Linked DNA regions of Saccharomyces cerevisiae S288C. Changing the gene in region 1 together with any one later gene gives a genetic interaction. Each region holds a gene or a part of one and is shown in the gene's direction. Other genes may lie near its edges. The genes, in order: PEX28, IRC4 and NBA1.

Evidence for each region.
Region 2: mutations in PEX28 (region 1) and IRC4 together harm fitness more than expected from each alone (negative genetic interaction), as found in Saccharomyces cerevisiae (one large-scale study listed by BioGRID).
Region 3: mutations in PEX28 (region 1) and NBA1 together harm fitness more than expected from each alone (negative genetic interaction), as found in Saccharomyces cerevisiae (one large-scale study listed by BioGRID).

The regions. Positions count from the first base shown.
Region 1 is NC_001140.6:395,531-399,566, forward strand, and holds PEX28 (Pex28p), read left to right. Parts: upstream 1-1,720; coding exon 1,721-3,460; downstream 3,461-4,036. Other genes in the region: SKG6 (Skg6p), read right to left, coding at 1-1,129; MTC6 (Mtc6p), read right to left, coding at 3,738-4,036. UniProt on the Saccharomyces cerevisiae protein: Involved in the regulation of peroxisome number, size and distribution.
Region 2 is NC_001136.10:1,516,495-1,519,368, reverse strand, and holds IRC4 (Irc4p), read left to right. Parts: upstream 1-1,693; coding exon 1,694-2,233; downstream 2,234-2,874.
Region 3 is NC_001147.6:196,559-200,579, reverse strand, and holds NBA1 (Nba1p), read left to right. Parts: upstream 1-1,854; coding exon 1,855-3,360; downstream 3,361-4,021. Other genes in the region: histone deacetylase HST1, read left to right, coding at 1-212; kinetochore-associated Ndc80 complex subunit NUF2, read right to left, coding at 283-1,638; succinate dehydrogenase assembly factor SDH5, read right to left, coding at 3,585-4,021.

The DNA.
Region 1 (4,036 bases):
TATCCAAATAAACTTGATAAATACTTTTCATTCTCTTAATATCTTCTTCTTCATTAGGGGATAAGAGTGATACATAGTAATCATCATCTTGACTTTTACTGCTACTACGATCATTCATATGTTCAGCTTCTCTGATATCTTGAAGTTCATAATTATCATCATCCTTACCAAAACGCAGATTCCTTTCATGTGTCTTTTCTGAACTATTATCAAGTTCGAATTCGAACGCGTCATTGCTTGCAGACTCATTTGACTCATTCAAAACCTCAGCCTCTTCACTAACTGAGGACGAATCATTGTCTTCATTAGGAAATGTAAACTGCTTGTTGGCACCTTCTGTGGCAGAACCACGGGAAAGCTGGTTATTATGGATTGGGCTACCGTGAGATCGAAAGCTTTCACTCTCTTGAAATCTTGAAGACGCTCTTATTGGTGTACAATTCGAAAAGTTATCAGGATGCAAGGACGTTTGACTGGCATTTCTAGACTCGGCCGCAACTTTATAGCCACCTAGTCCATCTTCTTGTACTCTCATGGCAAAATCTCTCAAACTGTTAGAGTCGTTCGATTCCTGTGGAAGCTGAAACGGGTCTACGTACCATGACCGACCAATTGCAGGTGGGGTAGCGCTTCTCACATTATATTTACTACTATGCATGCTACCAACAAAGGGATCTGAAGGCGGCTGTTGCAAGGTCTTTTCCATGAAGTCTTGCTGCGAGTCGCTAGAGTACAAATGATTTATTCCAGGTGAATAATCCTTCATTGTCGGTAAAAATTCAGAATCTCCTTCGAAATCTGGATCATTATCTTCCTCAGCTTCCTTTTTGCTTCTCCTATACACAATGCAAAGTATCACAGCCAGAACAATGATAATGACACCTACTGGTACCGCAACAGCCACACCAACAGTTACACTGGTGCTGTGACTCGAATCTGTGGGTAATTGACATTGCTGTTTAGAGCCTGTACATTCAGCAGATTTGCTATTTTTCGTGCTGGATGCTGAGGAAGAAGATGAATCGCTATCGTCTCTTCTAGTGAGCCTTGCATAAGCATAAGACGCATCAGAAACACTTACCGTTGAAGTCACAGATATTAAACTTTCATGCATATGGGTGTGGTACATCGCGAACTATATCTTTGTTAGAACTATGTGACGCTATATGAGTTCAACGAAAAACTATGAAAGGTAATGAAAGAATGAAAAGAAGAACCAGTGAAAAATTCGATATGGATAAAGACAAGGCCTGCTCCCCACAAAAGCTTCACCATGAGTTTGTTATTGATTATTAAAAGTTCTTATTGAGATAAAAAGAGAAAAAATACGGAAGAAACCTTGTCTTTTCGATGAACTTTCCTATTTGGGTGAGCAGTTTTCCTCTTCGAGCTGCAAAAAAGTTTATCGCTTCGCGAAAAAAAAAAAAAAAAAAATTTAAAGAATTTCAAAACGTGTCAGGGCTACTAAATAATTGAACGAGGTCTATGAAATAAAATGGGCTGAGAAAATTTCAAGAAAAAGGAAATAAGTAAGGGCTATTTAGGGTTAGTGGAATGGCTTTTATTATTTCCGCCGCGATGAACTTCCCTTTTATTGTGACATGATAGACATAAATATGACGAATGCCTACGAATTGGAGTCATCAGTAGATAGAACCATAATGAATAAGATAAAAACGCAGGTATTTAGGGTGACAAAGAGATAATATATCTTCAGCAAATGAGTGAGACCAGCTCAAGTCGCAGGAGCGCGAGTAAAGACGCTGTCAAATCTTACTTCGCAGGCAAATACAATAAAGTGTTGGATTCTATACTGGAGGCAGAAGCAGCAATATCAAAATCGCCAACTGTAGCAGAAGATCTATCAGGAAGCTCCTCCAGCGGAAATTCTGAGATGAGCCATCCTTCGCTAACCGCCTCCTCCGCAACAAGCCAAGGCATTAGCAAAAAGGAACTACTCCAACAAATTGCTGGTTCATTATTCAGTACGTCCATTGAGCGCCTGAAGACTGCCCACTCATCAGAAGTATCAAGTACTCCGGAATATTCAGTAAATGATTCGTATGGAGAGCAAGAGTGCAGGGAGTGCGATGGTGTTTTCAAGTGTTCAGCGCACTTTGAGGGCGCGCCCGAATATTATGACGATGAAACCGAATCAGGGCCAGCTCTAGAACCTATGACTTCCAATAGTGAAAAAGATCCTTTTATCGATGTATTTTTGGATAAACTAATATCGAGGTTGGTCCCTGAAAAGCTACCAGAAAGAGAGCATTTTAGTAGCAAAACCACCATTGAGCATGATCTAGACACAGGAAGGGTTCCCGTGTTTTCAGCAACTACATTGGGTAGTAATTTCAAAAAATTGTCTAAGAAAATGGGCTCAATATTTGAACTCCAGGACTCCATAGTTCGACTGCTGACTTGGAGAAACCCTACCGGGACGGTGACGTCGTTAATATTATTCACTTTGATATGTTTTAATCCAATGTACTTGGTAATTTTGCCTATATTCCGCTTTGTCTATGGTATTGTAGTTCCTGGCTATGTGCGTAAACATCCTTTACAAAGGAGTATATATCCTCTGAAACGGAATCACGGATCATCATTGTTATATGATGTGTGCTATGAGGGAAAAAATGAGTACAGCTACGGTCAACAGTTTTTCTCCAAATCTTTTATGGACACTTTGGAATCAAGAAATCAAGAAATAGACGAAATATCAGAATTAGATAAAAGAACCGAAAACACAGGGGAATTGAAACAAGGAATGAAAGTACTAATTAATTTACGCGATATGCAAAACATGACCTCTGGTACCCTTCATGTTATTGAGGCAATCAATAGTTTTCTTCGTAAGTCTTCTAGTTTTCAAAACGAAGAGTGCTCCACTAAACGTTTTTTTACAGGATTTCTTTTGATTGTTTTCTTAAAAATATTATCACCATTTGTGAATTGGAGCTATGTATGTAGCATATTCGCCTGGTGCTTACTGATATATATGCATCCAAGAGCTCATCCAAAAATAATAAGTTTTTTCAAAACAGGAACAATGGGAAAAGAATACAAAAACTTGAAAAAAAGAGAACACCAGGCGCTTAACATGATATTCGATGAACAACCGGAAACTAAATTCATCGAGATTTTTGAAATATATAAAAAGGCCTTACTGCCGAACGACTGGAAGTTTTTCCGATATTCAAATAGAATTTTCGATCCTCAAGATCCGTATAGAAGAGCACAGCAATTCCCACCGGGAGTAGATTCTTTGGCTGATGTTATTCCCCCCACAGGCTGGTCATTTGATCCTAATTTTGAGTGGAAAATTGACAATGATGTGGATAGGTGGGTGGTAGAACGTGGGTTGAATCTGCCAATTACCGGCGAATTCTTATTTGATCCAATGTTCAAGAGGAGGAGACTGATACATCGTGTTATTAAGAATGCAACACCAGTAGCATAATGCACAATTGTTTTCCTTCACCTACAACCCCACCCCTCTTCTTGGGGAAATCATTGTATTACGTACTTTTTTCCTAAAGATATTAGAAAAAAAAATGTTATGTATCAATATTACTAGGTAAAATACAAAAATGCGCTTTTGAAGTATAAATAATACAGTTTTGTTTTAAGAAATGCTATATATGAATTAATAATAAATGAAACGAAAAAAAGCACTACTTGAGTTTTAATGTCGTAAAACTTGAGAAAATTCTAAAGTGTCAGAAAAAAAGTGATTTTTAAGAAGGGACACCTTCTAGCTCGGATTTAGAGATTTTATTGATAACTCTTCTCCAATTTTTTCTATTATCATAAATGGGGACCCTCAATACACTCAAGTAAACGACAATACACAGTAGGGCAAAGGAACAGACTGACGCAGGGACCATCATTGTTACGAAATTTCTCCTAGAAATGACTTTTTCATATGGGCAACTAGCATAAGGACCACCACTTACCCAACAATTGCTTACTGATATAGAGTTCAAATCTATCCATATTTGTGTGTCAGAGAAGGAGGAATTCCTCATATATGCAA
Region 2 (2,874 bases), on another chromosome or scaffold:
ATTTAAGATACCTATATGTGTAACCGTATTATGTAATTATGAAGTATAAGTCGTTGAAAGACTTATACTTTTTAGGCGTAATATCAGATGGAATCAAAGAAATTATAGAAAACAGTAGATCAGAGATCCTGCCTTTGGAATTCTGTAATTCAACATATGGAAAAATTGATGCGAAATCACAAGAGTACAGGGATAATTTGGTAATGTATCTCACTAGTTACCATTGTTTTGCTACGCGTACTATCTCGTTTCAATCACCTCTTCTATAATATTACTAAAAAATGTTCATATGTTATATGGCGTACCGATAAAGTTATTGCATTTCTCATGCGATTTTAACTTCCTTTTCAAGTCAAGGATACTTTGTGCAAGCGTAAATCCTTGCTCAATCTCCTCTGCTCAAAATGAAAAAAAAAAAAACGCAGAATCATATGCAGGATGCAATATTGCTTAAATGATTCTATATTTTGCACTTATGTGTGAAGAGTGTAATTTTTGATCTTCCATTTTAATGTTATGCACATAGAGCTGAAATTAAATGCGTCATATATAATTATTATGAGTGAGTGGATTTTGAGATAATTATTGGGAATTCATTATTGCTTGAGATAATATTATTACTTATACAGAATACACTAGAAGTGCTCCTCGGGGACATAGAGATCCATAAAAGGGAATCGATAATTCTACACATTAATCTGTTTTATTTCTTTATCTGTTTTACACGTTTTCATTCATTATCTTATTACAAAATCAGCCCTTGCGCTTCATGTTCCATTATACTCGCAGACTGTTTCTCATCATTTATCTCATCTTTAACTCCATTCAGTATATTATCTTAATAACGCGACTACTAGTAGTGAATAATGGTCAATTTTTACTTCAGAAACTTCCCTTGATTTCATTCATAGATGTTATTTCATTGTCAATTTTTACTCTTACTCACCGATTTGAATGACAGTAAAGAACTTTGCTCAATTAATATTATATTTGTTGTTATCGTCTAACGCTGTAAGTATATGGTACTATCATAAGAACCTCAGTAGTGGAATATGGTTGTTTCTTGTGCTGACATGATTCCGGATGGCCTGTAGGAAAGTATCCAAGATTTTTATTATCAGATACCGGTATGCATTCCATAATGCCAGAGTTTGCGTTCTTACGTCAAAGAACAATGATGCTACGGAGCGCAAGAAAGTGACGTGGCCAACTATCAGCGCGCTAGGATATGTATGCACTGCCGAAAGGCTGAAGCGTATCGTACATTAATTCATAAAGAGAAAGAAATCTCAACCCTGAATTTAGGATAGCGAAGTGCAATAAGAAAAACTTTACCATTGTTTTCAGGATGAATTCTATATCAGCCTGTTTATATAAACAATTTGACAATAGTGCGTAAAGCTAAAAAAGGAAGCATGCCCTTTGTTCCTTATCGGGTGGAGAGGGCCGCACTTAATCTCGAGCGGATATCAGGTACCAAAAGCCTAATTGAAGCAGGCAAATTTTTTTTCCCTATTTTCTTTTATTTGAGTGTGTACATACTAATATAAATTTGATCAAATAATGAATGCGATTAAAAATCAATATTGGCAAATGGAAAAAAATCTAATAGCGGCTAATAGTGAGACTTACATCGCTATAGATTGGTAATTAAACGAATTAAATAATAACAATTGAAAAAAAAAAAACTATCATGAGAGAATATACCAGTAAAAAAGAACTAAAGGAAGAGATTGAAAAAAAATATGAAAAATATGATGCAGAATTTGAAACAATCTCTGAATCTCAAAAAGACGAAAAAGTTGAAACAGTGGATAGAACACCCTCTGAAAACCTCTCTTATCAATTGGGCTGGGTTAATTTATTATTAGAGTGGGAAGCAAAGGAAATTGCTGGGTATAATGTGGAAACTCCTGCGCCTGGTTATAAATGGAACAATTTAGGAGGATTATACCAGTCATTTTATAAAAAATACGGAATCTACTCCATTAAGGAGCAAAGAGCCAAGCTGAGAGAGGCCGTAAACGAGGTCTATAAATGGATATCTACTTTATCTGATGATGAGCTCTTTCAAGCGGGAAATAGAAAATGGGCTACAACTAAAGCTATGTGGCCTGTGTATAAATGGATCCATATCAACACGGTTGCTCCTTTCACAAACTTTAGAGGAAAAATTAGAAAATGGAAGAGACTAGTGCCTGAAGAACAACGCATAAAAAGGAGGAAGATATAATGAGAAAGTTGTATATGGCCGTCTATTTTTTTTCTTGCAGGATTTAGAAACTACCACAGGAAAACCTTTTTTAATATCATATTTTTTGATATTATTATATTTGAGAAATGAATCTCGATTATTATGAGTCAATTTAACAAAACCTCATATAATGTACAGCAGTATAAAGACAAAACTCTCTTACGCTTACCATAGCCTCAATAACATGTCACAATACGAACTTTTTATGTTCTTCCCATATATTTTATTGTACTCTACACACACAGTATTGATCATATAGTTAATTTACCTTACTATACGCTAACCTTTAAAGCAACAAAGATATAGACGATACCATACATGAATGTCGATCAGAGACGTATGGTATAGCTTGTGTCACATTCTGCTATCGTATATGGTATACATGGCACATACTTTAAATTTTAAAGTAATGTCACTTGATTAAGATCTTTCCTATACGTCAAGGTCTCGAGATAAAACTTTATGTCTCAAATAATACATGCTAGGCATATAATGACCCATTTTCTGGAGTTGATGTACTCAAGACATTGGTTAAATATCAATCACGCATGATGATAGTGCGCCCTATTATAACCCATTTTTGTCATCGTCATCACGCTTCATCACCTGAGAAAAGTAAC
Region 3 (4,021 bases), on another chromosome or scaffold:
TTTTGATCAATAGGGATATGGTTACACATGCAGAGTTTGACTTAAACCTGTTGGGATTCTGTGATGACGTGGCCAGTCTCGTAGCTAAAAAATGCCATTGGGATATACCGCATAAAAAATGGCAAGATCTAAAGAAGATAGATTACAACTGTACGGAAATAGATAAAGGTACGTATAAGATTAAGAAACAGCCACGAAAGAAACAACAGTAAATTCCAAAAAAAAAAAAAAAAAAAAAAAGAAGAAAACACAGAAGGGGGAGTAAAAATAAGTATACCGCTGCTATTGCATATATTCGAGCATTTCATTCATGTATTTATTAATATGACCAGATAATAAAGAATATTCAATCTCAATTTCTTTAACTTCAACTTCGAAATCTTTTTGTAATTGTTTAATTTCATCATTTAATTTATTGATTTTACCACTGATCAGTTCCTCTTGAATGAAAATGTCCGTTTTGTCAATCTTAGGTTTGATTTCATTTTCATATTTGATTTGTAGATCCATCAATTTAGTATCATTTAGGCGCGACTCTTCTTTAGTATCTTGCGATAGCTTTTCCAAATTCTTGAGTTGCAAATCTAACTGTTCTTGTAAGATTTCTAATTTATACATAATACCTGTTTCCAATACATTCATCAATTTCAGCTTATTGTTGATTAAATTTTGCTTTAATCCCACAAGTTCCGTTTCAGTTCGATTAGACTCTTGCACCTCGCTGGAAATTATTCTCAGCACATCATAGAGCTCACTAATTATGGTTTCGAACGTCGTCACTGTATCTTGCAAGTTTTTCTGTTGTGCGGTTAAGTCGTCTAACGTCTTTTTCCTTTGTATCAACAGATCATTTAGCTCTTTGATTCCCTCGGATAACTCTTCCATGTCTGTATTGGATATTTTGATCAGTTTATCTCGATTGGACTCTAATTCCACTATTTGGAAACTCAGAGCTTCCAGATCTTTAAAGATTGACTGCTTGGAGATCTTATAGTCATTATAATCTATGGATAACGTTTCTTGGATCTTGGTCAATTTCTTCAACTGAATTTCCAGCTCCTTATTTTGCTCTTCCAGCTTTTGGAGCTCTTGCTCATCAGGTATATTATCCCCATCTACGTCCTCGTATTGCTTTAGCTGTTGCTGAATCAAGTTATAATCATCGAATTTGGAGCGAAGCTGACCCAGCAACGATTCCATTTGAAGAATAAAAGAATTACAGTCGAACATTCGTTCCTCCCTAAAACGAGCGTAATTCACCACAGCACTCAGTAAGCGCTGTGTCCGTTGGGCTTCGGGCTTGTACAAATCTGTCATATTGAAATCTTGAACACCTATGTTCTCAAAGAACTTAAAGCAGATTTTGTTCAATACCAAAACATTTAACGTGTCCAAATAAATGTTCTCGTTCTCTTCCTGTAAGTGACCATCCCCTGTTTCTTGGTTACTACTATTCAGCAACGACTCTACAGAAATACCCATGAAGTTCTCGATGATTTGTTTGTAAAGGGTTACCATGTAGTCTGAGGTGGGCCTAGAGATATTTTCCTGTGTGGCTAGCGCAAAATCACAGCTTTGCAAACATATAACTAGTTCCTGTAGATCCAAAATGGGGAACACATCTTGATTCCTACTCATTTTGCTCAAGGGATGCTGGAGCCTTTCTCCTCAGTACATGCTTTTTACCAGTATTTTTTCATAATATTGTTTATTTTAATTGTTATTGTTTGTTACATGTCCCGATTCGGAAAAGCGATCTTTTGATCAAATGGCTGGCACCATCAAGAAGAGAAAGAACGCTGATATATTCGACTAACAAGAAGACCATTATCAAAACCAGATAGGTGTATAAGTATGTCAGAAGAGAGGGAAGAAAACGGGATATCTAGGGCTACGCTGAATACGCAGCGACTTTCAGCAATGATCGATTCACTGAACAATGAGAAAGATGACAGGCTCTTTCCATCTCCCACAACTACCAGGACAATGATCACAGAGGAAAAGGCGGATCAAAGTGATGTCTTTAAACCACCATCGAGATTGTTGAGATCACCTGCTGGTGACGTTTCGCTGCCACCTGGTGATAACAGATCAAGTATGATTTCCAACTACTCTGGAATTATTCAAGAAGGCGTTGAAGTATCATATGTGGTCAAAAACCGGCAACAGACCCAAGAACGGCGCACAAGTAAGGATTCCAATAGTTTGTACTCCTTGAAAGAGCCCGTGAGCAAGAACGAGTTACCGTCGTTGCCCATGTTGCCTTCAGAAGCGACATTGACAAAACATCTAAGTGATAACCAAAGCACAAAATCGAATACCAATGCAGACGAAATTGTCATTAAACCAGTTACTAATGCCAAACCTGTGGGAAGGTTTAACTCTAACACTTCAAAAAAAGTAGAGGGTCGTGGCTCACTGAAACTGTTATCTAGTCCTCTACGTCAGGAAAAAGTTATGCGTTCCTCTATAGGATCAGGTAATTTGGCCAGCGAGAGCGGATCTTCCACTTATAATACCAAATTCCATCAATCTATTCAAGAGCAGCTCGAAGAAGAAGAGGAAGGAAATGTTAGCGATAAGCTTTCAATTGTTTCCAGTGTCATACCCGAGTTGTATACAACCACCAACGAAGCACCCAAAGCGATAAACCCAATACGTTCTGAAACCAATGACTACAATCCAACTATTCCGCCCAGAAGTAAGGACCGTCCTAGGTCAAGGTTGTTCATCGAAGAAGGTGATGGCGAGGGGGATCTTTTAACCGAAGAAATATTACCAACGCCGGTCCAACCTGGTGGCCACTATAAGAACTCATCTCAGATTTCCACAGTTAGTGAACAAAAATCGGAATCTTACTATTCTGCGGCAACGAGTATGCCTCCAGAGGAAGAGACTTACTTGACAAGACCATTGCCCAGCACACCCAATGAGGATAGCAGAGTTACATCGAATTTGAAACGTGACGACACATTGAAGGCTATTCATGATAGGGCAAATCATACCTCTACTTCGACAAACAAACAAGATGATGACATGTACGAGGACATCATTGAGGAAACGCCCAAGAAAACTAAACTCAAGAAGGATACGAAAAAAAAGCTCAATAAAAAAAAATCTGTGAAGGAATTGCGATCCTTTGATATCGACACACTAAATCAACTGTTGAGTGTGACAAAGGGAACCTTAATCGGGTCTGAATTTGCGCAACTGGGGATGAAAATTGAGGAGAAACGTGCCCTGGAGAGACTAGTAGACTCTTTGTCCAGGTTAACAGCAGACATGGTTCTTGATCCGGACCGCTATGAAGAAGGACTGAAAAGATTAGACAAAGCTACAAAGGCTCTTGAAGGGTTTTGATGGTGCAACAACAATAATAATAGTAATAGTAACAGTGGTAGTAACAATAACAATAACAATATCAATATCAATATCAATAATATATTATAATACTAATAATGAATAATAATAATAGCAATAAGTATAGTATAGTATAGTGGTAATATATAAGTTTCTTTCTCTTCCGGTTTATTTACAAGTCATATACAAATAAAAAAAAGTGATAGTAATTCAATGGCTTGTATTCATTGATACTTGGACAAGTCCGGCATACTTAAAATTTCCTTCTCTTTATTTTCACTGAATTCTTGTAGCTGCTTCAGCAATTTAGAATTGGCCCACTTGTCAGGCAAGGGGCTGGTTTTGAAATTTTTTGTGGCCCAATAGTATATGTCCCAGTCCAACTCATTCAATAGCGAATCGTATTCTTCCAGTTCCTCTTCGTTCATCTTCTTCAAATATTTGGCAGCGAACCCAGATAGCAGCAAGTCCGTCTCCAAGATCCCTCTTTTGCGTGATTGATATATCAACCGAGCTCTTTTCTTATCCAATGGCTCGTTAGTTCTCTTTATGGGGGCAATTTTAATCCTCGTCACCACATCGTCGTGGTCATCTTTATCACTACTAAACCACCTACGACCGCACGACCATGCAGCGGACCCTGTTTGAGAGTTGATAATCT